Drosophila melanogaster: one gene and its partner. The protein of the gene in region 1 interacts with the protein of each later gene in a biochemical or structural test. Each region holds a gene or a part of one and is shown in the gene's direction. Other genes may lie near its edges. The genes, in order: Sos and drk.

Region 1 (18,174 bases):
GATTGCAGAGAATCGCTAAGAAAATAGCTTTCGTAGGGGATTACTGATTCGATTGCACAATACTCGCAATGCCCTTCACTTCGATTTCATGCCTCATAAGCTGAATCGCACAAACAGACTTGGTCATTCGTTACTCATGAATAATGGGCATTAATTAAAATGCAGGGAAGCGGGTTTTTGTGTTTTTACGGATCGGGGAGTTTCACACGAGCTGGGTCTCGTGATCTGGTAATGTGTATGGTGCTTCCCACTAACCAACCAGTCGCCGGCGGAGTCAACCGCCTCGACTGGCAAACTAGTTCTCCACCGACCACCAGCAACCAGCGATCGATTGTTTTTCGCCTTGTCTTTGCTGTTTTTGTTTTCGGAGCACCCGGTGCCCCTCACTCTGCGCCGCTTCGAAGGCTAGTCAAGTGCATGTTCTTCGTCTGGTGAGGACACATGCCGGACCGGTTTCAATGTCTTGGGCGTATACGTAATATCTTATGTGTGCGGTATGCATATAACACTAGCATGTAGAATGTATATCGAATGGGCTGCGTTAGCCAGCATATCAATTTAGAATTGAAAAAAAAACCACTACTTCAGTTTTTGACAATTTCAATTGATTTGCTTAACTGGTTGTGATTGCTCTGATTGATTCGATACTGATACCGATACTGATACTGTTACTCATTGCGATTCCGATTCTGATTTTGATTCTGATTTTCCGGCGCCGCCCTGGTAACTTTCCAGCGCAAGAAGAACCTTATCAGCATGCTGCTCCTCCAGAGTCGAGAATGCCCACATTAAACACGAGAAACTCTCTGCCATACATATTCGTATTTTTCGTGGAGATTGCACATGTGTATAGACCCATCCTTATCAAGACGCTCAGGTTGTGTCTAACCCCTGGGCACTGACAGAAGCGTCTGAATGTTGGTTGACACGCTTCCATCTAGAAACCACTGATTACAACTCGCGTGTTTACGTGAGAGGATCAATCAGATGTCCCACCTATCGTCTGATTCAATCGCCAGTTCTAGTTCGCAAAGCTATTCTTGGATCAATTGCATCGAAGCGAAACTTGCTTTATTTTATCATTTAGAAATCTCAACCCTTAACAACTTCTAGAATTTCTTACCAAAAAAAAAATACTACATGTCTATATCATTAATGTGTCATAGTCATAATGATCGATGGATTTATAATGTTCCACACCGATTTATTTCGCGTGACTTATCAGATTTTGCAGTTAGATAAAACTTACTTAAGGAATACGGAAAGGTTTCGTTCTAAAGTTTACTTTGAGTATATATTTTTCGATATGCCAGATATCAGTCCGATCGAAACCAGGCCCCTTCATTAATGGTCAATATTTATTGGCGGTTTGGAATAGCAAAAAATAGAACTGCGAAACGATTTCTCACGCAAGGAAAATCATCAGATTGATATTATTTTTGGCCAGCTATATAGATACTGTATCACCTGACTTGCCAGTCCAGCTATTTTATATAGCAAATAAAATTTGATAATTTATGCATTTGTGCATATATTGAAAAATATCTGGACATGCAAGAAAAAACAGCTCAATTAATTTTCAGACGTGCCTAAACATTTCATTAGGCCACAATGCATTTCAGTTAGCTAAACTTTTACGGCCATTCGAGTATTTCATTTGCGCTTTATTGTCACCATTTCCCACCACATGCAAACAAATAATTATTGGCGAAAATTTTAGCAGATGATTGAAGGGTTGCATGGTTTGGATTGGTGGTCGATAGCCAAATGTCGTGGCAGTCCAAGGGTAGAGACCATTTCTGGGGCTTCTTCAAGCCAAGCTGGGTGATAAATATAGCAGGGGTAGTTGCCTTTCAGCCCGGTCAATTGAGTGGCCATAAAAAACAGTATAACCCAGAGACAAGTGGCCCCCCTCCCCACGAACAGCAGTTATACAATATATCATCCGGTACTGACTCAGAACTCGGAACTTGGAATTCCGGGGTGCGGCTGGGGGCACTTTCCCCAAACGAGTTTTTTGTCCGTACTTCCTTGCGATCGCCGCCAGGAAAGTGGGGAAAAAACACGCGAGAAACTCATGCCTCCATCCAATTGGGATGATATTATCATGCAAGGCTCGCTTAGAAGCGCTCGGCTCGTAAATTCGTAAATGCTAATTGCCACATTTTATTTTGTCGTGTTTTTAAGCGTTTTTCTTCTTTTTTTTTGCACTGTCGTAACGAGAATTTCTTAATTTGTCTCTCCGGTTTTACATGCGCTTTTTATATTTTTAATTTTTTTTTTTATATTTCAAATTGCTGCTTTGTGTATTTAAATGTTCGGAGAAATCGAAATCACTATACTCAGGGGCAATTTTCGATGGATTTCGTAAGAACGATCATTATACATTATAGATTCTATATAGAGATCAAGATCTTAACGTTTCCGGAACAAGTTCTCCCAGACAGCTACGGGTTTTCGTTTTTCCGCCGGCGAATATACGCTATAAATGGATGTGGGTAATTCATTTGCAGTAATTCAATTAAAAAATCATTCGGATTTTATGGCAGCATTAATGGTCACAATTGTTTCAAAGCTTCGCTTTTGTTCCATGTCATCCGAATTGAAACGAAATTAAGTGCAAAACGATGATGAATTGTTTAATATACATATAACTTTGCAGTTAGTAAACGCGTATAACAAAGGCTCGTTTGATCAGCTTTAAGGGACCCATAATGTCAACCGGTTATATCCGATCGAGTTTTGTTTGAACAAGTGCGGCATTTCCTTGTTTTCGTTTACTTTCTTCTACTTTTTTTTTATTAAAGTCTGCCAATTGTTATCACAGGCACTGTGAAATGCCGCCAGGTGATCTTAAAGTATTTACAGCCAAAGTCGGCAGCAAACTCGCTGGGTAAATAAAGCCAGTAAGTAAGCCTATACATTTAAATGAGTCGCACTATATTTATTTCTACATATACATATATACAGTACCGACTTCGGAGATATCTTAATAACTCGATTGTTGATTATAAAAAGGTAATGTGCTAAATGCGGCAGTAAATTCGCACTTGGCTGCTAACTCACAAAAGGATCGTGCAACTCCAATTGCCTGCTTCTTTGTATGCTGCCCCACACGGCGTATACGTGACATTCATACGCCATGTGCTGCGTCAGTCACATGCACACACTTTTTGCACCCGAATGGTGAATAAGGCTCTTGATTTCAACTTTGATAAATGATAAATGCATTTCACCTGACTTTTGTTATTTACTATCAGCATTATGAAGGACTTTGAGAATCGGCGAAATAAATATAGGAAGCTACAAAGCTGTTGACACCTTAAGCTCGGCGATCTATCAAATGACAAACGAGGCTTTGCCCGTTCGATAAGAAAACCCCTGCCGATTTCTGGGTACCATTACCAACGGCAAATGGTTCAATATTTGCTCCGATTCAGGCAAACAATCATATATTATACATATTCTGATTCCAATTCCCATAAACTTTTGCGGTTTATCTGCAGCGATCCTATCACATGACTCGGGTCTGCGGTCTTCCGAGTGATTCTACTGGCACGTGACGCGGTTCTCTGTGTCAATGTTTGCGCCACCAGTAATTAAAAAGAAGAATCCACATACACGCACATAAATCGCAACAAAATGCAGCAAACAGGGGAACAGCAAATACTTGTATTGCCTCAGCCGGTTGGTCAGATAAAAGGTCTATGCAAATATTATTATGACTGCCAGTTGGGCAAACGATTGTCAACTCTGGCGACATGTTCATAAATAAGCATCTTACTTAATGCTTCGGTAATCGCGAGTATAAGCAGCCATAAAAATATTAAGTCTTTGATTCATTTTTATTCCCATTTATTAGCTTCAAAGTCCAGATTCTAGTTGAAATATATACAATCTTTCATGTTTTTATAATAGAAATAATTTGAATTTAACAGCAAATTGTAGGAATAAATGAATTTGAAATGATTTTCGCTGTCTTCTGAAATTACTAGTACCATATAATAGTCGCCCTAATTATCGAATTAATGGATTAAACGAAATTCTTCAATTCCTTCCACATTTATTAGCTTCTATTTTTTCGGACATTAATCAATTTCCTGACCAGCCTAATGAGTTTTTAATAAACCCCAATGGAGTACTCCAATGAATTGATTTTAGTTGATTTATTGTTCCTTATCGACACAGCGAATTAGCACTTAGTTAAGTTGGTAAATTCGGGGAAAGCAAATACCTAATGACTTTGCCGCACGTTTACTTACCCGCCCCATTCAATGTTCCTATTTCAGGACCTGCCCACTGGGCCAAGGAGTACCCACAGGCGTCGGGACATCGTCAGTCGCCCGTGGATATCACACCCTCCAGCGCCAAGAAGGGCAGCGAACTGAATGTAGCTCCGCTCAAGTGGAAGTATGTGCCGGAGCACACCAAAAGCCTGGTCAATCCTGGTAAGAAATTCAAAGTTAACGTACTGTATTCTACTGAAATATTAATCCTTACCATTTGTTAATCTAGGCTATTGCTGGCGCGTGGATGTGAACGGCGCCGACTCCGAGCTGACTGGAGGACCGCTGGGCGATCAGATCTTTAAGCTGGAGCAGTTCCACTGCCACTGGGGCTGCACGGACTCCAAGGGATCGGAGCACACCGTCGACGGCGTGTCCTATTCCGGCGAGCTGCATTTGGTTCACTGGAACACCACGAAGTACAAGTCGTTTGGCGAGGCGGCTGCCGCTCCCGACGGCCTGGCCGTGCTGGGTGTGTTCCTTAAGGCTGGCAATCACCATGCCGAACTGGACAAGGTGACCAGCCTGCTGCAGTTCGTGCTGCACAAGGGCGATCGCGTCACCCTCCCCCAGGGCTGTGATCCCGGCCAGCTGCTGCCCGATGTGCACACCTATTGGACCTATGAGGGTTCCCTGACCACTCCACCGTGCTCGGAGTCGGTCATCTGGATCGTGTTCAAGACGCCCATCGAAGTGTCCGACGACCAGCTGAACGCCATGCGCAATCTCAATGCCTACGACGTGAAGGAGGAGTGCCCCTGCAACGAGTTCAACGGCAAGGTCATCAACAACTTCCGTCCTCCGCTGCCGCTGGGCAAGCGTGAGCTGCGCGAGATCGGGGGCCACTAAGTCGGTGGATGTTGGACAACTAAGTCCTTGGATAGTCAACGGATTCGAGTGTCGTATGATTAGCTTTTCGCACCCACACATCACATCCGTACGCCACGAGCTGGACCGGCACATCTCCATTGTTCAATTCTCGTCTTTAGTTCGTACGCCCAGCAAGAGCATACCTCCTATATGTGCATCCGTATCCGTATTCGCATCAGTGGATGCTTAGCTGTAACCTTAATTGTACATGTACGCCTGTTCGTTTGTTTGTCTGTTAAACGTTTGCAAAATGACAATTAGATTTATGTTATTATGGTATTATAAACTAAATATAACACGCTTAGATGTTGCATATGATAACCTAACTGACTTTCAATTCTGTGGAAATAGTTACTTTAAAGGGAAGCTATAATCCGAAGTTATTTCATCTCTGATAAGGACATTTTCAGCAACTACACATTTTCAAGAAAGCAATTGAAGGAGCTTAGACCAGAAGTTCCACTTCATCCCAACTTTAGCAATAAAATACTTGCTTGGTCTGCATCTTATCCTCGTTTCACTGGCACGAAGTGTCATTTATTTGACATTGGATTAAAGTCTAGCAACTCGTGTGGTTTTTTGGTCCATTGGAGAAAGTATTTCTCTTTGATTTCCCGCCAGGCAAACTGGTAATCTCTGGCCAAGTCTTTACAGGAAGCATAGGCGATACGCTCAGGATCGGAAAGCTGTTGATCGAACATTTCACTTAGCTTCGGATTGAACTTTACCAACTCTAGAAATGTAAGGAACAGCTTGTACTTGCTGATCGCCAGTGCAGCTTGTGAAGTTTTCATCTTTTTCTTAGTTACTCCTTGACGCTTTCCATTTACGGAAATTTCATAGGGCCTGCGTGTTAGGAATATATGTTTAGATCTGAAACTGTCTAGCTAAAAGGACCCTTACCTTAATTCTTCTGGGACCTGGGACCAAATCAGGCCATTGGGGGATGGCTGCCAGTCGGAGCGTTGGGAAAATTCAAATCTTATGCCAGGATCAATGTTTATCTGTGGCCTTTGAGGCTGGAAGCGCGTGTGCTTAAATGTCCTACAATCGAAACGTTTAAAGATGGCACGTTCCAAAGATTCCAGCTGCGCATCGTCACAGCAAAAGTTCAGGCTGCTAAAGTAGATGGGTTTGGAGATCAATACATCCAGTAGTGCCCCCTGCACGCCTATGACATTCCATCGCGCTATCTTATCACTGCAGGACATGGATAGAGTGCGCTCTCCACGTCCGGGCTTCGTTCGCAGAGCTCCTGGCGTCTGCAACATTGGATCATCGCTAAGGTCACTTATTAGTTTGGCACCCGTATAGACCATCTCGGAATCCTCATCCAGCCGCTGGCGTTTGGCCCGCGCCGCTGGTTGCTCTTCCTCAAGGATGCAGGCATCCCCACAAGGCGTTTGTGTGCTCAGAAAGTGGAACTCCACGTGCTCATCCATGTCGTACGTACTTAGCGTGCTGTTCCAATGAAAGATTCTATCCTGCTTGAGCTCCTGGTATAGAAAGCGAAGAAATCCACGACGTGCCAGCACCTCGGCATGGGAATCATTCAGGATGAGGCCATTGGGACAAAGTTTGGATTCTCCAATGCACTTTGTTCCGCATCCAAGCGAAACTAGTTGACATGCTTCCGTGTTCCGGTTGAACTCCACGATTCCCGCCAAAATTGTCCATTGATTGGCTGTGGGCTTTCCTGTTTTTGGCAAGGACTCGAATTTTTTTAAACAAAGTTCCGCAATTTCCTTAACAGTCGGTTTTTTGTTATCACACATTTTTGTTTATATTCGCAAATGTGCGAACCGATAAGTTCGGTAATCGAATAGCAATATCGATTGGCGTGTTGCATTGTTTACCTTTTGCTTGCACACTCTGGTCTCACTGTTTATTTATTTACTTGCGGTGTTTAATGAAATAGGAAATTACTTTAATTTTATAAGTTTCATAAGTCCGAAACCCACAAATAACCATGCCCAAAGTAGTGTCGCGCAGTATCGTCTGCTCCGATACCAAGGATCAGGAGGAGTACAACGAGGAAAAGCCGCTAAACATTTACTACTGTCTGTGCAACAAGATGGCTCTGATTCTGGGTAAGATTACTGGAGCCAACTAACTGAAAGCATAGTACATCATGTTTGCCTATCCTACAGATTGCACCCTCGAACAGTTGCCGCTACGAGAGGTGGACAACGCCCGTGTGATAAACGCCAACGACCATGCCAACAAACTCACCCACAATCCCACACCGAGGATGGTCTACATCAAACGCAAGAGCAGGGGCAATGGGATCGAGAAGCAGTACCGCTACAAGGTGAGTAGCTGACTTCCACTCCTTACCCGTCATTAGTTCACCTAATGTTTTCCTTTAACCTTCAGTGCCGAAGCTGCAGTCTGCCGCTTTACTATCGCCACAGTCCCGACTCCCACGTAACCTTCGTCATGTCCAATGCCCTAATCCGCAACAAGGGTGAGAGTCCTCTCACACAGCTGCTGAATTCGGAGATCAAGGGCAGTTTCAAGGCACCGGCTGCCAAGCCAGCGACTTCCGCCGGTCCAGACGATTCGGGTATTGTGGATGCCAGTGGCAAGAAGGTCGTCGTCACCAGACACACGAAGAACATGGGCAAGTTCAGCTCGGTCACGGTGTCTACCATCGACGAGGAGGAGGATGAAATCGAGGCGGTAAGTTTGTCAGCTAAAGTTGGTTTGTAAATGGTGCAGGAAATCCAATCTATCATTGCATCATCTACGAACAAACCTACAACTCTTTCAAACTAACCATTTTTTTTGTTCATTCAAACAGCGCGAGATCGCAGACAGCTATGCGAACAACGCAAGGATTATCGAGAAGCAACTGCAGCGCAAAGGCGGAAAATTGAGCGATGTGGGCATCAAAACCAAGACAGAGGACGCACCTCCGCCGCAGAAGAAGCAGCGCGGCACGCTACTGGAAAGATAGTCACACTCTGCCTCCTTATTACCCACAACTAAATATATTTGACGACACAAATGGCTGGCATTCTTGGAAGAAAAATTGCAATTTATCTAGTTATAGCATACGCAAATAGTTTGACCTTCTATGCTGTCGTTTTGGCAGCAAACTGGGATGCTGTGCCAGTAGCTTCTTCAGTCGCTGCTCGGCGTGCTGGTGATTGAGAATCGAGTCCTTGACAAGCCCACAACTGGGACATAGATTGTACTCCGACTTTGACTTTTTGACGATCGCTGGACGCACGCGAGTCTCCATGATCAGCTTCATTCGATTCGTGGTACGCGGCGAGTTGTGCAGAGCAGTGAGTGGACGGCACTTACTTCTTGGCGAGGATTCGGTCCGTTCCAAAGCAGCCTTCTCCTTGCTCCTGACCAGCTCGAGTGCACGATTCGCTCGGGCTTTGGCCAGCTGCAATTCGAGAGGCGCCTTTGGCAGGTTAAAAAAGAAGTGGGTCCACTTATCGCGCAACTGTTCGATGGCCTCCGAGTTGAATAGTGAGCTGGAACGATTGGAGGTATGGGGTCCCCATTCCGCGTTCCCGATGCAACTCAATCTATAAGCGGACATTGAAACCTGAAGTATTATACACTGAAAATTTGACAACAAAGTAAAAGTGTACATATATGTGTATATGTATACTATATACCGTATAGTTATGGTTTTTGGATGGATTGTTTTTCAAATATATAATTATACGAGGGTATAGAAGCTTCGACTTCTGGAAGCTAGCTCCCTAACTGTTTTTGGTTTTTGTATTCTGTTGCATTGCATTGCTTTCATATGTTTAATTGTTTCAACTGAACACATTGTACTTGTTTTCGATTTAGAAGCGTTGAAAGCGGATGTATCTTACATTATCCAAGTAAAATAAGGGATGAGTCGATATGTATGTTGCATATCTCCTTACGATTTTAGATAAGGAAAGACATTTTATAAATATAAATATAAATTTCTTGAAATATAAACATTGAAGAGATAATTAAATTCATTTTTTTTGGGTAAATTATAATATATTTTAAACCTGCTCGTTGCAATTTAAATTCAAAATGCTTCTTCTTCTGCTAAAAAAGCCATTCAACACGAATGCTCTCTACATTGGATTTTTTAGTACATTCTTAAGCATCGAATCAGGGCTGGTCGCGAGCATTTACTGGATTTAGGCAGTGCCGCACTCTGGTCACACCGCGAAAAATATTATATTGAGTTGAAGATTATATTATACATATATATATCGAAGATACATATTCTGAAAACAAGTGCTGAAGCCCAAGCGATTTGCAAACGAAACGGACGCGCGAGCCCCGTTCAAGATTCGAAACGAGTTCAGTGCGTGCGCTTGAGTGTGTGTGACTGCCATGCGACGTTCGCCCGGGTGATCCGGCTGTGCCAGGTGCCCCACGGTTCCAGGTTTCCAGTTTCCAGGTTCCGCTCCACTCCACTCGTCGCTGGATTCAGTGCACAACACAGCGGGCGGGGAGGCGGAGGGCAGGCGGCCAACGAAGGTGCTCCACGGCAGGCTCTCGTCGGCTACTCCACGGCGCACAGAATGTTCTCGGGGCCCAGCGGCCATGCCCACACCATTAGCTACGGGGGCGGGATCGGTCTGGGCACTGGAGGCGGCGGCGGCAGCGGTGGTAGTGGTAGTGGCTCACAGGGCGGAGGCGGTGGTATTGGCATTGGCGGCGGTGGCGTGGCTGGGCTGCAGGATTGCGATGGCTATGACTTCACCAAGTGCGAGAATGCTGCGAGATGGAGGGGCTTGTTTACGCCATCGCTAAAGAAGGTGCTGGAGCAAGTGCATCCACGGGTTACCGCCAAGGAGGACGCACTGCTGTATGTGGAGAAACTCTGTCTGCGGCTTCTGGCCATGCTGTGCGCCAAGCCGCTGCCCCATTCCGTGCAGGATGTGGAGGAGAAGGTGAACAAGTCCTTTCCAGCGCCCATCGATCAGTGGGCCCTGAACGAGGCCAAGGAGGTGATCAACTCGAAGAAACGCAAGTCTGTCCTGCCCACGGAAAAGGTGCACACGCTGCTCCAGAAGGATGTGTTGCAGTACAAGATCGATAGCTCCGTGTCCGCCTTCCTGGTGGCCGTGCTCGAGTACATCTCAGCGGACATACTCAAAATGGCCGGCGACTATGTGATCAAGATCGCCCACTGCGAGATCACCAAGGAGGACATCGAGGTGGTGATGAACGCCGATCGTGTGCTAATGGACATGCTCAACCAGAGCGAAGCCCACATCCTGCCCAGTCCCCTGTCACTTCCCGCGCAGCGTGCAAGTGCCACCTACGAGGAGACGGTCAAGGAGCTGATCCACGACGAGAAGCAGTACCAACGCGACCTGCACATGATCATACGCGTCTTTCGTGAGGAGCTGGTGAAGATCGTGTCCGATCCGCGCGAGCTGGAACCGATATTCTCCAACATAATGGACATTTACGAGGTGACGGTCACTCTGCTCGGCTCCCTGGAGGACGTCATCGAGATGTCCCAGGAGCAGAGTGCCCCCTGCGTCGGTAGCTGCTTTGAGGAACTGGCCGAGGCCGAGGAGTTCGATGTGTACAAGAAGTACGCCTACGACGTTACCTCGCAGGCCTCACGGGATGCTCTCAACAATCTCCTGTCTAAGCCAGGGGTAAGTATTGATACCTTCTGTGCGAAGAATTCTACTAAAATCCCTGCTTTTAGGCCTCATCTCTGACCACAGCCGGCCATGGCTTCCGCGATGCGGTCAAATACTATTTGCCCAAGCTGCTTCTGGTGCCCATTTGCCATGCCTTCGTGTATTTCGACTACATCAAGCATCTCAAGGATCTCAGCTCTTCGCAGGACGACATCGAGAGCTTCGAACAGGTACAGGGACTGTTGCATCCACTCCACTGCGATCTCGAAAAGGTAATGGCCAGCCTGTCCAAGGAGCGACAAGTTCCGGTTAGCGGTCGAGTGCGCCGCCAGCTGGCAATCGAGCGGACACGGGAGCTCCAAATGAAGGTGGAGCACTGGGAGGACAAGGACGTGGGCCAGAATTGCAATGAATTTATTCGCGGTAAGTGCTGGCAACGAAAGTTACTTGCATCCTCCAACTAAAATGGTATTTCAAATTTACAGAGGATTCGCTGAGCAAACTTGGATCGGGAAAACGAATCTGGAGCGAGCGCAAGGTATTCCTCTTCGACGGGCTAATGGTGCTATGCAAGGCAAACACCAAGAAACAAACACCATCGGCAGGAGCAACGGCCTACGACTACCGACTGAAGGAGAAGTATTTCATGCGACGCGTGGATATCAACGATCGACCGGACAGCGATGATCTGAAGAACAGTTTTGAGTTGGCACCCCGGATGCAGCCGCCCATTGTGCTGACCGCCAAGAATGCACAGCACAAGCACGACTGGATGGCAGACCTGCTGATGGTTATCACCAAGTCGATGCTGGACCGGCACTTGGACAGCATATTGCAAGACATCGAGCGAAAGCATCCGCTGCGGATGCCCAGTCCGGAGATTTACAAGTTCGCGGTGCCGGACAGCGGTGACAATATCGTGTTGGAGGAGCGCGAAAGCGCAGGAGTGCCGATGATCAAGGGAGCGACGCTTTGCAAGCTAATCGAGCGCCTCACCTATCACATCTACGCCGATCCGACTTTTGTGCGCACCTTCCTCACCACATATCGCTACTTCTGCTCGCCGCAGCAATTGCTGCAACTGCTGGTGGAACGCTTTAACATACCGGATCCCAGCCTGGTCTATCAAGACACGGGCACAGCAGGTGCGGGTGGAATGGGCGGCGTTGGCGGTGACAAGGAGCACAAGAACTCGCATCGCGAGGACTGGAAACGATATCGCAAGGAGTACGTGCAGCCAGTGCAGTTTCGAGTGCTCAACGTACTGCGCCATTGGGTCGACCATCATTTTTACGATTTCGAGAAGGATCCCATGTTGCTGGAGAAGCTGCTGAACTTTCTGGAGCACGTGAATGGCAAATCGATGCGCAAGTGGGTGGATTCCGTGCTTAAGATTGTTCAGAGAAAGGTGAGTAGTTGGTCAACAGCATAATGTGGAAGTATCGTTATCATTTTTCAAATATTATTTACAGAACGAGCAGGAGAAAAGCAATAAAAAGATTGTATACGCCTATGGCCACGATCCGCCGCCCATTGAGCATCACCTTAGTGTACCCAACGACGAGATAACGCTCCTCACCCTGCACCCACTGGAACTGGCCCGTCAGCTCACTCTACTGGAATTCGAGATGTACAAGAATGTAAAGCCGTCTGAGTTGGTCGGATCACCCTGGACGAAAAAGGACAAGGAGGTGAAGAGCCCTAATCTACTGAAGATAATGAAGCACACCACGAACGTCACCCGCTGGATTGAAAAATCCATCACCGAAGCGGAGAACTACGAGGAACGCCTGGCTATTATGCAACGCGCAATCGAAGTGATGATGGTGATGCTGGAATTGAACAATTTTAATGGAATCCTCTCGATTGTCGCGGCTATGGGCACGGCATCTGTTTATCGACTGCGGTGGACATTCCAGGGATTGCCCGAACGCTACAGAAAATTCTTGGAGGAATGCCGCGAGCTCAGCGACGATCATCTCAAAAAGTATCAGGAGCGATTGCGATCCATCAATCCGCCTTGTGTGCCATTTTTCGGTCGCTACTTGACCAACATACTCCACTTGGAGGAGGGTAACCCCGACCTGCTAGCCAACACAGAGCTAATTAACTTTTCCAAACGACGGAAAGTGGCCGAGATTATTGGCGAGATTCAACAGTACCAGAACCAGCCATACTGCCTCAACGAGGAGTCCACAATACGACAGTTCTTCGAGCAACTGGATCCGTTTAACGGACTGTCCGACAAACAGATGTCCGACTATCTCTATAACGAAAGCCTGCGCATTGAGCCAAGGGGCTGCAAGACAGTGCCGAAATTCGTAAGTATAATGCTTCAAAGTTTACAAGTCATATAGGAAATTTAACCATTTTCCTTTCGTAGCCTCGAAAATGGCCGCACATTCCGCTCAAATCGCCGGGCATCAAGCCGCGTCGCCAGAATCAGACCAACAGCAGTAGCAAGCTGTCGAACAGCACGTCGTCCGTGGCGGCGGCAGCGGCAGCATCGTCAACGGCCACCTCAATAGCTACGGCATCGGCGCCATCTTTGCACGCCTCCAGCATAATGGATGCGCCAACAGCAGCAGCAGCTAATGCTGGATCTGGAACTCTCGCTGGCGAGCAAAGTCCGCAGCACAATCCGCACGCTTTCTCCGTTTTCGCCCCTGTTATTATACCCGAACGGAACACCAGCAGCTGGAGTGGAACGCCACAGCACACTCGAACGGACCAGAACAACGGGGAGGTTTCGGTGCCGGCGCCACATCTCCCCAAGAAACCGGGCGCGCATGTCTGGGCTAACAACAACTCGACACTGGCCAGTGCGTCGGCAATGGATGTTGTGTTCAGTCCAGCGCTGCCGGAGCATCTGCCACCGCAGTCCCTGCCGGACAGCAATCCATTCGCATCGGACACGGAAGCTCCACCGTCGCCGCTGCCCAAGCTAGTGGTCAGTCCGCGTCACGAAACCGGCAATCGATCACCATTCCATGGGCGCATGCAGAACAGCCCAACGCATAGCACTGCCAGTACCGTGACCCTTACAGGCATGTCTACATCGGGCGGGGAGGAATTCTGCGCGGGTGGATTCTACTTTAACAGTGCCCATCAGGGACAGCCGGGGGCAGTGCCCATCTCGCCGCATGTCAACGTTCCGATGGCCACCAATATGGAGTACCGAGCAGTGCCGCCTCCACTGCCACCCAGACGCAAGGAGCGCACTGAGAGCTGTGCGGACATGGCGCAAAAGCGTCAGGCGCCAGACGCACCCACAGTAAGTAGCCTCACTTACTTCTAATTTGTAGTAGCAGATGACAGCAATCATTTTACGTATCCTTGCAGTTACCCCCGCGTGATGGCGAACTCAGTCCGCCGCCGATACCGCCACGGCTCAACCATTCCACGGGCATCAGCTACTTGCGACAAAGCCACGGCAAGAGCAAGGAGTTTGTGGGCAACAGCAGTCTGCTCCTGCCCAACACCAGCAGTATTATGATACGCCGCAACTCGGCGATCGAGAAGCGGGCAGCGGCAACTAGCCAGCCAAACCAGGCGGCGGCGGGACCCATCAGCACGACACTAGTGACCGTGTCGCAGGCAGTGGCGACGGACGAACCGCTGCCGCTACCGATCTCGCCAGCGGCAAGCTCCTCGACGACCACATCACCGCTGACACCCGCCATGTCGCCCATGTCTCCCAACATTCCCAGCCATCCGGTGGAGAGCACGTCGAGCAGCTATGCCCACCAACTGCGAATGCGGCAGCAGCAGCAGCAGCAGACGCATCCAGCGATCTACTCGCAGCACCATCAACATCATGCCACCCATCTGCCGCACCATCCGCACCAGCACCATTCGAATCCGACGCAGTCGCGCTCGTCCCCCAAGGAGTTCTTTCCGATTGCCACGAGCCTCGAGGGCACACCCAAACTTCCACCAAAACCTAGTCTAAGCGCTAACTTCTATAACAATCCAGGTGAGTGCTACCAACTCGGCCCGTGATAACGTGTTTCCTAACCCAACCATCCTATCCGTTTGCAGATAAAGGTACGATGTTTCTTTACCCAAGTACAAACGAAGAATAATTTAAATTGCCTGGCGATGTGATAAGGACGAAAACTACGAGTATGATCCGTAAGATTCAAAGTTGCGAGCACTGCTTGAGTGCAGATATATATATGAGAGAACGGAACGTGAGATATATATATATATATATACATATATACGTAGGCGCAGTTTATGTATTCTAGTATGAAACGAGTTGGAACCGCTGATTTAGATTATTCGCCACTCATTTAACAAGGTAGAACAGACAGACAGACAAAATACGCTCTCATTTACACACAACAGGCACGCGCATATGGATAGGAATGCAGGACACACAAACCAAGCAAGCAACCAAGCAACCAACAAGAAATGCAAACAAGAAATTATGTTATTATATAATTACTATTATAAATATTTGTAAATATCGAGAACATTGTATTGATCGTAGAACGTAAAACAATAAAGTATAACCCTATTGTTAGACACTTGGCGACATCTTTCGATGACCAGAAATATAGAGTATTGTAGCCAAAGTCAAGGCAATCTGAGCAAATAGCATAGATTATCAAGGCTTTTCCAACGTTTAAAGATCGTGGGTATTCTTTATGTGCCCAGTGGCCTTGATGAAGTCGACGTGAACCGACATCCGACTGCAACACACCTGACATTCTCGCAGTGTCCAGCATAATCGCAGCCATTATTAAGATTGTGTATATGGCTAATTAGTTTCGGTGGGTTAGGAAAAACTAGAGCGATTGTTGTCTCACTGCATTAGGTGCAATTAAATTGGACACACACATTCGCTTATTGGAAACAACGCGGATTGACTTTCGCTTTTCTAAAACGTCATGAACGTCGAGCACAAATGCTTCCTGAAATTTTGGGCTGCTCGCCGCTGGGAACCGGTTGTTGTTTTTTTGAATTATTTTCGTATATTTGTATATTCGTATTTTCACGCTCGTGTCCAGCCCCTTATCGTCAGTTATTTGGGGGAGTTATGTGTGTGCAGCAGCCACCGTCCCCAAAAAGCGATGTGTCACCTGATGGCGCAGCGATTTGGATCCTCGGTGAAGTACCAGCGGTTACCAGGGTGAATAAACCGAAAGGAATTCCTGGGAAAGACAGACCATCTTTCATGTCCAATTGTGTCCTATGAACACATCTCAATACATCATAGCAGACACTCGGGGAATTTCCGTTGTTGAATTGTGGGGGGTGGTGGTGGGGTGCACCTTTATTTATAGAGCACCATGCACTCCATACCCTATAGACAAGGCCATCGGACGAGCACGATCATATCTATTCGCCATTAGATTTCGCTTTCCCTGCAACACTTGACCAAGATATCGGGAAGCCAGACGACGACCTACACCAACTGGCAATCTATGTATGTAAGTATGTATGTGCCAGTCTGCCATCTTCTCACACAATTAGCAATTGGCCAAAGAATGGAATTATTCAATGCATTTGCATTTAATGCATACTTGATTGCGGCTAATGAGAGAGAAACGCCACGGCAAATTGCTAGAGAAGATTAGACCTTTGGCGCATAATCAGCGCGCCGTAATTGCTCGTAAATAATTGTGTTACATGAGCATATCAATTAGTCAGCCAATTAACCAACAGCCAGCCAAAATTGGGATTCTGCGATTCTGGGATGAGTGGACCAGGGAAATCCCGGTGCTCTGAGTGCTCTGCATTGCGCAGGAACGAGGTGCTTTCCATGCTAACAGCCGCATAACCAGAATCCACGAGTCAAGCCAGGTGAGATCGGCACCTGCGTCGGCTCTCGAGCGGCAGTGCCTTTATGTAATAAGCGCCACTCGGTTTCGGATTCGGATTCGGATTCTGAGTTGTGGAAGTCGTCGAGCTTTTATAAAAGCGGCAACAACATCGCCTGTTCACTCAGTTCACACGGAATCACTGTCAAGTGCAATCTGCAGCAGTAGCAGCACCAGCACCAGGAACAGTACCATCTAGTACATCGGAAATCTAGAGCGCTAGCCAAGACATTTACAGTATAAACCGCAGACGAGAGCCAATAAAATGCTGGCCAGCGAGAACTTTCCCACACATCACTTCAAGGAATCTATATTTAAGCCGTACAGTACGACGAGTGGCGATGATTTGGCAAGCGTTAGCCCATTGACAGCGACGGCAGCGTTGGTGGCGTCCACGTCGTCACCGGCTGATTCCACCTCCACAGTTGCATTCGAGCAGGCCAGCAAAATGTTGGCCAACGCCGCCAACAATAATAATAATAATAATAACAACATCACGAGCACCAAGGATGATCTATCCAGCTTTGTGGCCAGCCATCCGGCGGCAGAGTTCGAGGGCTTCATCCGCGCTTGCGTCGACGAGATCATCAAGCTGGCCGTCTTCCAGGGCACCAATCGCTCCTCGAAGGTCGTCGAGTGGCACGAGCCAGCTGAGCTGCGACAGCTCTTTGACTTCCAGCTGCGGGAGCAGGGCGAATCGCAGGACAAGCTGCGCGAGCTGCTGCGGGAAACGATTCGATTCTCCGTGAAGACAGGACATCCGTACTTCATCAATCAGTTGTACTCGGGTGTGGATCCATACGCGCTGGTAGGTCAATGGCTCACCGATGCCCTCAATCCCAGCGTGTACACGTACGAGGTGGCTCCACTCTTTACGCTGATGGAGGAGCAGGTGTTGGCCGAGATGCGACGCATTGTGGGCTTCCCCAATGGCGGCCAGGGTGATGGCATCTTCTGTCCCGGCGGCTCGATAGCCAACGGTTATGCAATCAGCTGCGCCCGCTACAGACACTCGCCCGAGTCCAAGGTGAGTGCCCCATTGCAGCCAAGTGGTTTACCGCCAATCCACGCGGAAGTCGGCATCCACTGATTGGCGAGTGATCGTTAGTCATGCCCGTGATATACATATAAAAGTGAAACTAAAAGTTCTTAGCGATTTAATCAGATAAATAAACTATAAAGATGTGTGTTTCAAGATTAAAAGGCACATATTTAGGTTCATAAAAAAGGTTTAATGATTTCCTGTGCTAAAAATTATACTTTTTATGTTCATTTTCGATTTATATAGAAATTTAACTGATAAAGAGAACGGTATTTTAAAACAATGCATTTTAGAACTTAGTGCTTTTCAAGGATTTTTCTACATTTTTGTCTGTTGAAAAAATTCAATTCAAATTCCAATCTAAATAACGAATTAAAACTTTAAAAAACTCGAATATCTACGGAATTGAAATAGGAATTCTTTTCTAAATAGATCGATTTTATAAAAATAGTTATACTATATAGAAAAAGTATTACTAACTTTTATAAATATACGAAATTAACCTCTTCAATCCGCAGAAAAACGGACTC
Region 2 (11,464 bases), on another chromosome or scaffold:
CCCCTTGTTGACGTTATTATTTTGTGCGCGTTTTTTTCCACCCATTAACCACCCATCTCAACAACTCGTCTAAACTCATAGGACACACCAATGCCAAATATAACTTGCTAATTAAATTTATGTGCTTGCCAATTCTCTAATTGCACGTTAGCATACTTTTTACAGTGTAAAAACATTTGCCCCCAAGACTGTACCCCACTAAAAACACCAACACAAGCATACAAATGCCCATGTGTGTAACAAGCTGTCTGGCAACGCAGCGCCATGGGATGTTCCCAGATCGTTAAAAGCACTTTTTCGTTTCGTCAGCAGAGTGCACAAACTTACGAAAAATCTAAATTCAGACCCATTGCCAGATATATGCACACCGCAATGCAATACGCACTCATAAGTTAGCTTGCCGGTGTTGTGGCAGGGGGGTAGACAAGCGAAGGGGGAGCCGCAAATCGAGGAGATCAATTTGCGCGCCAGCGAATGGCCCAACTGCCATGGCGAGTACACGCTGTACCAGAGGTTGAAAATTCAATTTGAAATACGAAATGACCAGATCCTTACCCAAATTTCCGCCACTCGTGTCCATGCTGGGTGTGTATTGTGTATGCTGTGCCGCTGTGGTTCGCGTATTGTGTGTTGGGCGCTGTTTTGAATGCAGTGCGCGGTGACTGCGGACAAAACAAAAAGAAAATCTGCACACTGGGAAATGTGAATGCGTTGAACTCAAAGGGCGTCGCGGGCGAACGAAACGGTCGCGAGGCGGTTAGTCACTGCGGTGAGATGCGCGTCGCGATATCACAGCTATGTGCACTTTCATTTGGCGGCCTTATCAACGAGTATTTACAATCGAGTGCAACAGCAAAATTCAAAATTCAATTTAAATTGCCGTCGAGTGGTCTTCCTTTACTTTTATGAATCAGGGTGAGACCGTGTCGCTACCGTTAAATTATACCGCCATACACACGCAGATATACTGAAATTTCCTTAGGAAATACTGGAAAATACTTCAAAATTATACGGAGCCATGAAGGTGAATGACTTGGGTAATATGTTAGCAAAGACTCATACCAAAACTAAATTCTTAAAATTTATTTAGACAACTTGAAAAATGCAAATATTTTAATATTAATTTTCTGGAACTCCAAAATTCAAGTTTTACTAGTTGAGTCGCGTAATCAAATTTCTGTGTTGTGATATTAAATTGTTAATTTTAAATTTCGATCCCCTTTCAATAAGAAAAGCATTTCAAATTTATTTATTCTTCTCTTTTTTATTCCTTTAACTATGTCTAAATTATAATCAAGGTAAGATAGATAATTAAAAATAAAATAAGCTTTCATTTTCACAGAACATACTCGTCGAACATTTAAAACGCCAAATGTAATTTTCAACATCTTAATAAATTAACACTTAATGGCATCCGCAAAAAAATATTAAACTAAGAAGATAAAAGTATAAACAATTCCACAACGGACAATTACTGTCAATAGACAAAACTACATAAACTCGGAGGAGGGACGCAGATTCACCCGCCGATTGCGCAGCGTGTACGTGCGAGGAGTTGCTTCATTCTCCTGATTGGAATCCCTTCCCGGATTCTGTTCCAGGGATCCGCTTTCCGTGGAGGCTTCCAGCGACATGTCCTCCTCGCAGTCCTCCAACTTGTCGGCGCCCACTGTCTCGTCGTTGCTAATGTTTCCCTCCTCGTAGGTGAACTGGAATCGTCGTACGCTCTTCTTGGCGCTGAAGAGCACGCCACGGTTCTGGCGTTTCGTGGTGCCGGGCGTCTTGAGGATGGAGGTGCGCGGCTTAGGCGGCGGCGTCTTGGCAGCGTTCTGCTCGGCGGCCGCAAGAATCGCTGATTTCAGGAGCGCATTTGGCGCAATCGACTGACGGCCCTCGCCGGTGGACATGCGGAGTACTGTGCGGGCGGGCGAAAAGGATCGGCGGTTGCGAACTACGATTACTCGCGGCGAACTGTGGCGCGAGGACGTGGCGGGCAGGCCATCCTCCAGCGTTGGCTCCTCCACCTTGGTCTTCTTCATGTTGGCATGGGCTTTGCGGAGGAACTGCTGCAGATTGCTGCTCGGCTTGGCCTTCGATTTGATCTTCATGTTGCGACTTATCTTGGGCTTGGGCTTCGGCTGTTTGGGTTCCTCGGCCACGGCATCCGGATCCAGCCAGTCGTTGGCCTTCCAACGTTTCAGGTTATCGAAACGCTTGTCCACGTTCTCGCTCTGCAGGCGCAGCATGTCCCACCAGCCCTCCAGATCCTCAGCCTGCACCGGTTTCGAATCCTCACTGCCATCGTTTGGCTGACTGTTCTTGCCGGTCGCTCCAGCCTCGCAACGATCGATCAGGCCGCTGAACTGCATCATCTTTTTTGTGGTCAGCAGACGTGTTTGACCGATGGTCACGTTGATCATGTCAATGCCGCCCGTTTCCTGCAGCCGTGCCTCATTCTCCTTGCTGTACGCCTCCCATTCAGCGCAAAGCGCTTGGAGGCGCGTGATCTCGTTTTCCAGCTGCAGTCGGAAGTACAGAACCGATTCAATGGCACGGCGAACTTCCAAGGGCGATTCCTCATTGGACAGGTAGAAGCTATTGCGTTTCTCCTTCTCACAGCGCGAGTTCACCTTTCCCCGCGAGACACTAACAAACGGACTGAGATAGTTGGGCATTCCATTGGATTCGCGACGTGGCGGTGTCTTTGTACCCTCTGGCACCAAAGTGGAATCTCCAGTGTCTTCTTTAACTGAAAGGAAAATGTGAGTTTGAGTTTAAGATTGGAGAAGGCGTATCCCAAACTCACCCGTCGTCTGCTGAGGATCCAAGATGAGCGAGTCCTCCGCCGGCGAATTCGCCACTGAGTAACGCGTAAAGTCGAACTTTTTCTTTGCCACCGGACCTGACGCCTCTTTCTTACCTTCCGGCAGCAACTGCCTTTTCACCGAACTTTCTCCTTCAGCTTTGACCGGTGCCACCGGGCTCAACAAGATGGTGTCGCCAAACGCCTCCAAAAGATGACCGCTGCTATTGTTCGACTTGCACTGCGTTGATGTGGCCTGGTCGATAAAGGGATTATGGATATCGTCTAGCGGCGTGAGAGGCGGTATATCTAGCGTGGCTGCGTGCAGCAACTCGGCTTTGAGCTGAGGAAGCTTTCGCACGTTGTCCTGAAGCCTCGTGTACTGGCTCTTTATCTTGGTGGCCTTCATTCGTATGGAGTGACTTGCTGCCTTGCTGGTCGCTCCAGCTGTGTCCTTGAACTTGGCCGCGGCACCACCTCCGCCACGTATAGGCTGTGGTTTCACGACATTCGCCCGTCGTGTCACTGGTGCCTTGTTTCCTAAAGGTTTCTCGAACGGCTTGGACAACACATTGGGCAGTCTAGCTGTCCGTGGCGCTGGCGGCTCAGGTAATCTTGGCTTTGTGCTGACCACTGGTGGCTGTTGTCGTATGCCTGGCGTTTTCGCTTTCGTGACTGTCGCTGGGGTGGGTCTGGGTATGGTGGTAGTGATCTTTTTCGCTTCAATCCCAGGCTGCCTTACACTGGTAGTTTGCTTCGTTGTGTTGGGAATGGGTCGTGCAGCTGCTTTTTGCCTGGCCAAGGCCACTGGATTGTTGTTCTGACGAATTGCAGGCACTATTTTTGTTGCAGAAGCAGCTGATTTATGCCTGGCCAAGGCGGAAGATGCAGCCACGGTATTGGATGACGGAGGAGCTGCTGCTGACGTTGGCTTGGGTATTGAAGGTTTAATCGGTTCTGCGGCTTTTCCCTTGCCCGTCGGATTGGCAATCATGTAGAGAGAACACCGCTTGGGAGGCTGGAACATGGGAGCCGCCTCCTTCTGCTTTGCAGAAGCCAGATTATCGGGAACCCGAAATGTTTGTGATTTGGGCAAGGCCTTTGATTGTTTTACTGTCGGCACATTGATGGCTGCGCCTCGACGTTTCTGGTCTTGCTGCTTATGCTCCTTGGTCTTGGCTATCTTCCACTCCATGTAGCGTTGTAAGTAGAGCTTCTGGCGGGAGACCTTCGGGTTGGATTCCTTCAGCAGTTCTGCGGGCTTCGTGTCCAGCCGCTCCGGACTCTCCAGTTTGGGTGCCACATTTTCCTGGGTCAGAGCAGCTTGGGCCGCCGCCAATTGCTTTATTTTGACGGGCGTCGGGCTCACGCTGATGATGCGGTTCTGATAAAAACAATCCTCTCGTTTTTTGGCGCGCGCCGCCTGCAACCGATCCCTGTTCTCCTGGCAGTGATTGCGCGGACTCAGCACCAGCGATTGCTCCTTGTACAGTTCCTTGTGGCGCTGCATGGCGACTGCTGTGACGGATGGGCGAGTCAAACTGAAGTGTCCGGTTGGGAATGAAACGTAATGCTGACTTTTCCGGCGAAGCGTCTCCTGTTTTGATTTTTAAAATGGCGAAGCGTCTTGCGGTGTGACCAGGTGAAGGAAAACTACGAAAGCCCTGCGGTATGCCTCTCCCACAGTGTTGTGTTCAGTATATTTTCTTGGAATAATAAAGCGACCCGGCCACGGTCACGCTGCTATGAAAATAAAAGTGAATTACAAATTTAGCAGTAGTAATATGTTAGCCAAACCGCTCCCGCGCCTAATTAGTGTCGCTTAAGCTTGCAGCCACCCTAGCCCTTTGAAATTGTAAGCCCGGCGGCCTCTTTGCACGTGCCAGAGACTCGAAAATAGTTAGCCGCAACTTACGCATATAGAAATATAAGCGCCGCGTGTGTGTGTGTGTGTGTGTTTATTGGGGTTACAAAAAATAAAACAAACAACAACGTCACCGCGGCAGCATTGCCAACAGCAAGCACCCACGCCCTAGATTGCCAAATGTTAATTGTGTTCTAAGCGACACATTTCATATTATTTAAGGCAAATTACTTCGCATAACAACAAGTAATAGCCAAACATCGTCTAATTGCTTTTGCGGTACCTGCTTTTCCCCGAAATTCCAAATCGCAAGCTGCTGGCAACGCTGCCACGCTCACGCACACACACCCACACAGTGGCCGCCGTGGAGAGAGCGGCTCGTGTCTGTGTTCATTCTCTGTTGCTGCTCCGCCTGGGAATGTCGTCGTCGTCGGTGTATTTTTAATCGCTTTCTTCCCTTGCCTTCGCACAAGATATATTATTATTAACCGAACTGAGAAAAGCGCACTGCCGAATATCCATGATTTATCGTTTATATAATGTGCGCTAACTAATCGCGGATTCGTCTCGTTTCGTTTTCATTTCCACAGCACTGAGTAGTGAGTGAGAGAGAAATTCAAAGAGAGTTAGAGAGAAAGAGCAGAGAACGAGCGTGTGTGTCTGTGCCTCTGTGTGTGCGTGTGTGTGGTGCATCAAGGCTGATAGAACTAAATCCAAAACTACAATTGCAACTAAATTTTAAAACAAACTCCGAAAGCGTTTTCTAACTGCGCACAAAACAACACAGCAAAATGGAAGCGATTGCCAAACACGATTTCTCTGCGACGGCTGACGACGAGCTGAGTTTTCGCAAAACTCAGATTCTAAAGGTGAGTGCTGTTCCAAAATCATCAATTCCCACCTCAAATCATAATATCTGCATTTATTCATAGACTTCACACTGAATGGGGGCACGCAAGGGTGTAAGGGGGTGCACAGGGGGACGTGGCAGGTCCTGCATGCATAATCCGCTGCGATGCAGCTGCCGCCGTCCAGGTCGTTGCCTTAACCCACATCCTAGGTTCAATCCCCAGACAGATTTTGTTACTAAATCGCGACCAAACAGACAGCAGTCGCAAAAGCTGGCTAAAGAGTTTCAAAAGGTGCATTCGCAGAAGGCAACACGAAAGGATTACGACTCATTAGCCACCGCAGCCCGAATACTCTTACTAGAACGAAAAGATTCAGTCAAATATATTCCACTATCAGTACAAAATCCTTGTGAAGCATCACATACTGAAATATTGTACATTCTACTCTACATTTTTTCATTTCTCAACTGCACTTCAAATCTATCAAGACCATATTTTTGACCCCATTTAATCTGCATATAGTTGTGATTAGCATTACAAAGTAAGTTTAAAAAATGATGTGAGGAGGGGGTTTCTAAAGCTATAAACATGCATATATGATTTAATCTATATACTATACTTTGCAAATCTAGCATTTTTCACTGTGTTTCCTTGAATGAACTTATTTATTGTTAGCATTCCTATAGTATATATACTATTTCAACTTTCCTTATTCGTTTTCTTCCGAATGCTTAGAAAAACAATTCCAACAGTTTGTAGTGATGATATATTCGATGCCCCCTTTGACTTTGCGGAACTTTGTGGGGGACATCCGATGCTTACCCGTGTTGCTTGTATTCGCTGGCTTTTCTGGCCAAGAAAAAGGCTGCTGGCAGGCTGCGATTCGATCTTTTTCGCCGCCTTGCTTCCTTCCAGGTGTTTGTGTTTGTGTTGGCTCACTGGCTCGATGGCTGGCTGGCTGGCTGTCCTAGGCCAAACCCTTTGTTTTGGCTGGCGAATTTTCCGGTTTCTTGTTGCCAGGGCGCGATGTAAGCTGATTTTCGTTGCTGTGTGTCTACCTTGTCGTAGGTTAGTCACAGCAGGAACCCAGGCCCGTGGCAGGTTTTCTCCCTTTTTGTGCCTCTTTTTTTTGCGCCTCTTTTCCATATGCCGCCGCTGCATTTGCAGCATTTGTTGCTGCTGCTGCCGCTGCTGCTGATTGATGGTGTCAATGACTCGCCGAAGAGGCTTCTTTATCGCCGCCCGAAGGTCAAGTGTGTGCGCTGCTCCCGTCCATTAGAGGGGCTTCTACGCCGTAGATGAGCCCTCTGTCCAGCTGCACGGTCTTATCAATGGGTAAACAATCCGCACTGATAGTCATAGTTCGTTTAATAGCCCATAGTTCTGGGCTCCATTGATGCGGGGGATAAATAGAAATACACGATTATCTCGCATTGGAGATATGTATGTTACGCATATCTGTTCGAACTCCCAGCGCATTTGTTTGTTTGCCAGCGATTAGTCACTTCTCGATAGCCTTATCTGAAAAGATGCCCCAATCCAGCAAACATACAGCAGGCATAGAAGGCGATAGAGAGAGGAGCGCTGTGAATCATCAAACATTTCATTGGGGTTCGTTCTCTTTCCAGAAAACTGGTTTACAGGTCAGCGTATTTCTTGGATATTTGGAGCTCCATTTTCCAAAAAAAAAAATGCCTCCAATTCTAACGGCCTTGTTGTGTGGGCACCAAAAGTGGCCACGTTTTATCATAACAATGTGAAACACACGAAATGGGATTCTGTGCTCAACTTTCGCTTGTCGCGAAAACAGCGAAAAGTGAACGTTCGTGTTGCTTTGACACTTTTTTCAGCGTCGGATTTCCGAAACGACAATAGAATTTTTTCTCTAGTAATTACATAAGCATACGAGTATAAACAATTGATAATAACAATCATGGCCACTACGTGCCTGCCTTCCGAAAGCGCCGCTAAATATTTATGCATTATCCAACAGGCACATTGCACATTGCCTGCACTGAAAAAAAAATGGTGCACTTCCTTATGCAGTTGGGAAAATAAATATGCGATCATGGAATACTTGGAAAGTTTATGTTCTTGAAGCATTTCAGCATATTTAAGTTTATATTATTTCTAAACCCTCTGGTTTTTCCCAGTGCTGAGCGGCGAGAAAACTTTCTGTAATAGACGACGAATCCGTGGAAATGAATTTCTCGGCGGCTGTTTTCAATGAATGAAACAATCTAAAAATAAAATAAATATACGATGAACAATGTCTGGGTGACAGATGCGGGCGGGATGGTCGGTGATCGCGGGGTGGATTAGAACTATGGAGCTATGCCAATTAGTCGGCCAGATCCAGCTGAGCGGGCAAAATCCCACTGCCACAGCCAACAGTGAGCACAATAATTGGGTTTTACATAAGCTGGAAACGACATTGACACCCCATCCACCTCCAGCTCCACATCACCCAAATCCCCTCCACATTCCGACGTGCGAAAATGTAACCAAAAAACTCGAAACATCATTATACGAATCGAATATGATATATCTCATATTTATATATATATATTTGTATCTTTAATTAACAAGAAATCGATCTGTGGGTTAAGGTATTATGTTTGTTATTAACCTCGTATGTTAGTAGCGTGTATAATTAACGATGAGACATTCATGGGGTAATTACAAGTTGCAACTTCAGAAAAGTAACCAACCCTCAACTACACAGTATCAACAGGGGTTTTTTTTGTGGGTGACTCATTTGAATGCCATTCCATTATTCCGACTTGACGAACAAGCTATATTGGAAAACAACAAAGCTACCAAATAAACACTGAACTGCTCAAGGGAAAAATGGCAGAAATCCATAAAGATAGGAATATGCTTTACTTAAGACTTAACTAAAAGTCGAAATCCTGACCTTTGCACAATAAACACATTTCCTGGGTATTTGTGCAACCGATTTCCTTGAGAAAAGCAAACAGATTCCGAAAACTGAAGGCTGCTGGGCGCCGTCATAAGCGACGAGATTCATTCATAAAAGCTCAACTCAGCACCTTCGAATCTGGGAATTCCCAGTGGCCAAGCAAATGGCGAGACCTTTGCAGATAGACAATCTTCAATTTCGGCTGTCAATCGTAAGATATCATAAAAGTAGTCGATGATTACGTAGGCAGCAGCCTGTTGTTGTGTCATTGGCATGCGAAATGGGCTAGGAAAAAGTTCATTAGATAGACAAAAGTGAAATTCGTCCATTCGAGTGAGTGCTCCGTTTCACTTAACATTCTTATCACATGTCGCGGCCATAATGCTTGCCTATTTTTAGCGTTTCGCAAGAAAAAAAAGATATGAGAATAGTGGAGATAATAGATAAATATGTACGTTTCATACCAAACCATAAGCCTATCTTCGCTGATTGCGCACTGACACAGTTTTTTGGGACAACGCTCAATCAACAAACAATTGAAAACTGTTCATCGAATCCACTGGGGAATCGGGCCAGTCGCCAATAAACAAAGCGGAAGAATGTCTCGATTGATCGCCATTGTCTGGGGGGGTTGGGATTAAAGGGGAGTGGCCCTCAAAATGGAAACAACGGAGGCAGGTTCTTACAACAAATTTTCGGGGATCGGATTACTCACTGTGCAGCTGGTACTTTGGTTTCGTGAGAAATGGGAATTAAAATCAGATGCTCCGGTTTTAATAACTTCATGGAAAAACCAAAGAACATATTTAACATTTAACTCAGCCTCATGAAGCTGAATATATGATTGTTTTATTAGGCAGGGGTAGAAGATTTAGGTAATTTTATGCCCATTAAGATCCTTTTTTCCACAAATCAAGCTTTCTTTATTAGTTATTTAATCAAAAATATGGTTCATTACATTTACAAACCCATTGATTTGTATTGCTTAAATTAACTTACATCCCTTCTTTTTACACAGATATTAAATATGGAAGACGATTCAAATTGGTATCGCGCGGAGCTGGATGGAAAGGAAGGCCTCATACCTAGTAATTACATAGAAATGAAGAATCACGAGTAAGTCGAGCCTGAAATTTCCAATATCGAGACCCAAATAATGATCATTTCTATTGTAGCTGGTATTACGGACGCATCACACGCGCCGATGCTGAGAAGCTGCTGTCAAATAAGCACGAAGGCGCCTTCTTGATACGCATCAGCGAATCCAGTCCCGGCGATTTCTCCTTATCAGTCAAGTGAGTTGCGCTTGAATGGCTTCAGCTTTCATATTTATGATTGAAAACCGTATATAATCGAAATTCTTTGCCCCTTCAGATGCCCCGATGGCGTTCAGCATTTCAAGGTTCTGCGCGATGCCCAAAGCAAATTCTTCCTCTGGGTGGTCAAGTTCAACTCCCTCAACGAACTGGTCGAATATCATCGGACGGCGAGCGTGTCCCGGTCGCAGGATGTCAAATTGCGTGATATGATACCTGAAGAGGTGGGTGTGCCGTCCATTCCATTCCATTTTGATGTGATGAGTTTGCTCAGCAAACATGCAGATTCATTTTAAAAATACAAATTTCGCATAACACATTGAGGTCATGTTTGCGTACGATGCCGCCGCCACCGCCCACCCATTTGAACTATAAACAAACAGCGATGCCAAGAGTATTAGATTGGATTCATTATGTCCGAACGATTTTTTTTATTGCAGATGCTCGTGCAGGCGCTGTACGATTTTGTGCCACAGGAATCCGGGGAATTGGACTTCAGACGCGGCGATGTCATCACCGTCACAGATCGCTCCGATGAGAACTGGTGGAACGGCGAGATCGGCAATAGGAAAGGCATCTTCCCAGCAACTTATGTGACGCCATATCATTCATAATAAGATAACTTCTAAGGAGGGACGCCACACACAATCCTCTCCGGGAAACGCGAAAAACACAACACACACCCATAACGATTAGGCAGCATTATCAGCAATTGCGAATAACAACAAGAAGAAACTAAAAAACACAAATTTTAAATATTTATATACAAGAAACGTGGACATAAATTCTGTAGACAACGTATAGAACAACACAAGTTTAAGCCTTTAAGCCGAATGCATTTTTTACGTTTTGACGTTTTTTGATAAAACAATTACATTACGATAACATTACGAAATCGTTTAATAGCAACTGAGTGACACTTTAAACTAGATATGTAAATTTATTTGTGTATTTATAGCTGCGGCCGAAGAAAAAGGCATTTGATCGGAGTTTTCCTTTGCAATCCTTCCGCACAGAGGACGAAACTCACTTGCTACAATCTTGACCGCAACTATAGGCATATGCAAGTATGTCTACATACCAGACCAGGCACTATTATTATTATTGTAAACAAGCGGATTTTTGATATAAATATATAATTTAAGTTCGATAAAGAGAAGTTCTGTCCTGTGCTTTTGAACGTGTGTTGAGGATTTTGCCCTACATGTGCTCTTTAGTTTATGTTTTGATGTTTTCAAGGAGTGCGTTTCGCAGCGAGTGAACACTTATATTATTATGATTATATGATAACGAATTACCAACCAACCAACCTAATGCTTAACACGTTTTATAGAAAACAAAACAAATTCACTATGAAAAGAAAACTTTTGCCTAAATGTCTCAAAGCTGAAGACAATTAAAACAAAATTTATATTATATTATCGTAAATGCCTACCACATAAATTAAATTAATTTTTGCATCGCTGGTTACTATATGCATACATGCACGCATCTATAAATAAATATGTATCTTCTTAATGCAAATTGAACGATATTAGGCCTCGGCTGCACATGCAACTTTTGCGGCGACTGTAAATTGATTATGTGAAATTTTGTCCCTTCGCTTTAAAGTTGAAAATTGTCAGTAATTATAATTTGCACTCTGTCTTCTGACCACAAAAACTCCATGAACGAAAAATGAATCTTGCAAACGGGAAGAAAACATTT

Evidence for each region.
Region 2: the proteins of Sos (region 1) and drk interact in a test that uses a peptide from one of them, tested with the Drosophila melanogaster proteins (2 studies listed by BioGRID, with this or other methods).

The regions. Positions count from the first base shown.
Region 1 is NT_033779.5:13,804,520-13,822,693, forward strand, and holds Sos (Son of sevenless), read left to right. Parts: upstream 1-9,296; 5' UTR 9,297-9,694; coding exon 9,695-10,786; intron 10,787-10,839; coding exon 10,840-11,197; intron 11,198-11,259; coding exon 11,260-12,182; intron 12,183-12,246; coding exon 12,247-13,095; intron 13,096-13,157; coding exon 13,158-14,048; intron 14,049-14,116; coding exon 14,117-14,750; intron 14,751-14,815; coding exon 14,816-14,859; 3' UTR 14,860-15,305; downstream 15,306-18,174. Other genes in the region: CAH1 (carbonic anhydrase 1), read left to right, coding at 4,290-4,448, 4,516-5,135; Adat1 (adenosine deaminase, tRNA-specific 1), read right to left, coding at 5,690-6,002, 6,060-6,931; CG16865 (uncharacterized protein), read left to right, coding at 7,126-7,246, 7,307-7,467, 7,533-7,838, 7,960-8,115; CG16888 (uncharacterized protein), read right to left, coding at 8,206-8,715; b (black), read left to right, coding at 16,868-17,629, 18,163-18,174. UniProt on the Drosophila melanogaster protein: Promotes the exchange of Ras-bound GDP by GTP. Functions in signaling pathways initiated by the sevenless and epidermal growth factor receptor tyrosine kinases; implies a role for the ras pathway in neuronal development.
Region 2 is NT_033778.4:13,495,885-13,507,348, reverse strand, and holds the start of drk (downstream of receptor kinase), read left to right. Parts: upstream 1-4,507; 5' UTR 4,508-4,658; exon of another isoform or gene 4,659-5,424; 5' UTR 5,425-5,458; coding exon 5,459-5,536; exon of another isoform or gene 5,537-5,875; intron 5,876-6,340; exon of another isoform or gene 6,341-6,728; intron 6,729-9,459; coding exon 9,460-9,557; intron 9,558-9,616; coding exon 9,617-9,736; intron 9,737-9,815; coding exon 9,816-9,981; intron 9,982-10,197; coding exon 10,198-10,371; 3' UTR 10,372-11,464. Other genes in the region: mars, read right to left, coding at 1,491-2,749, 2,807-4,313.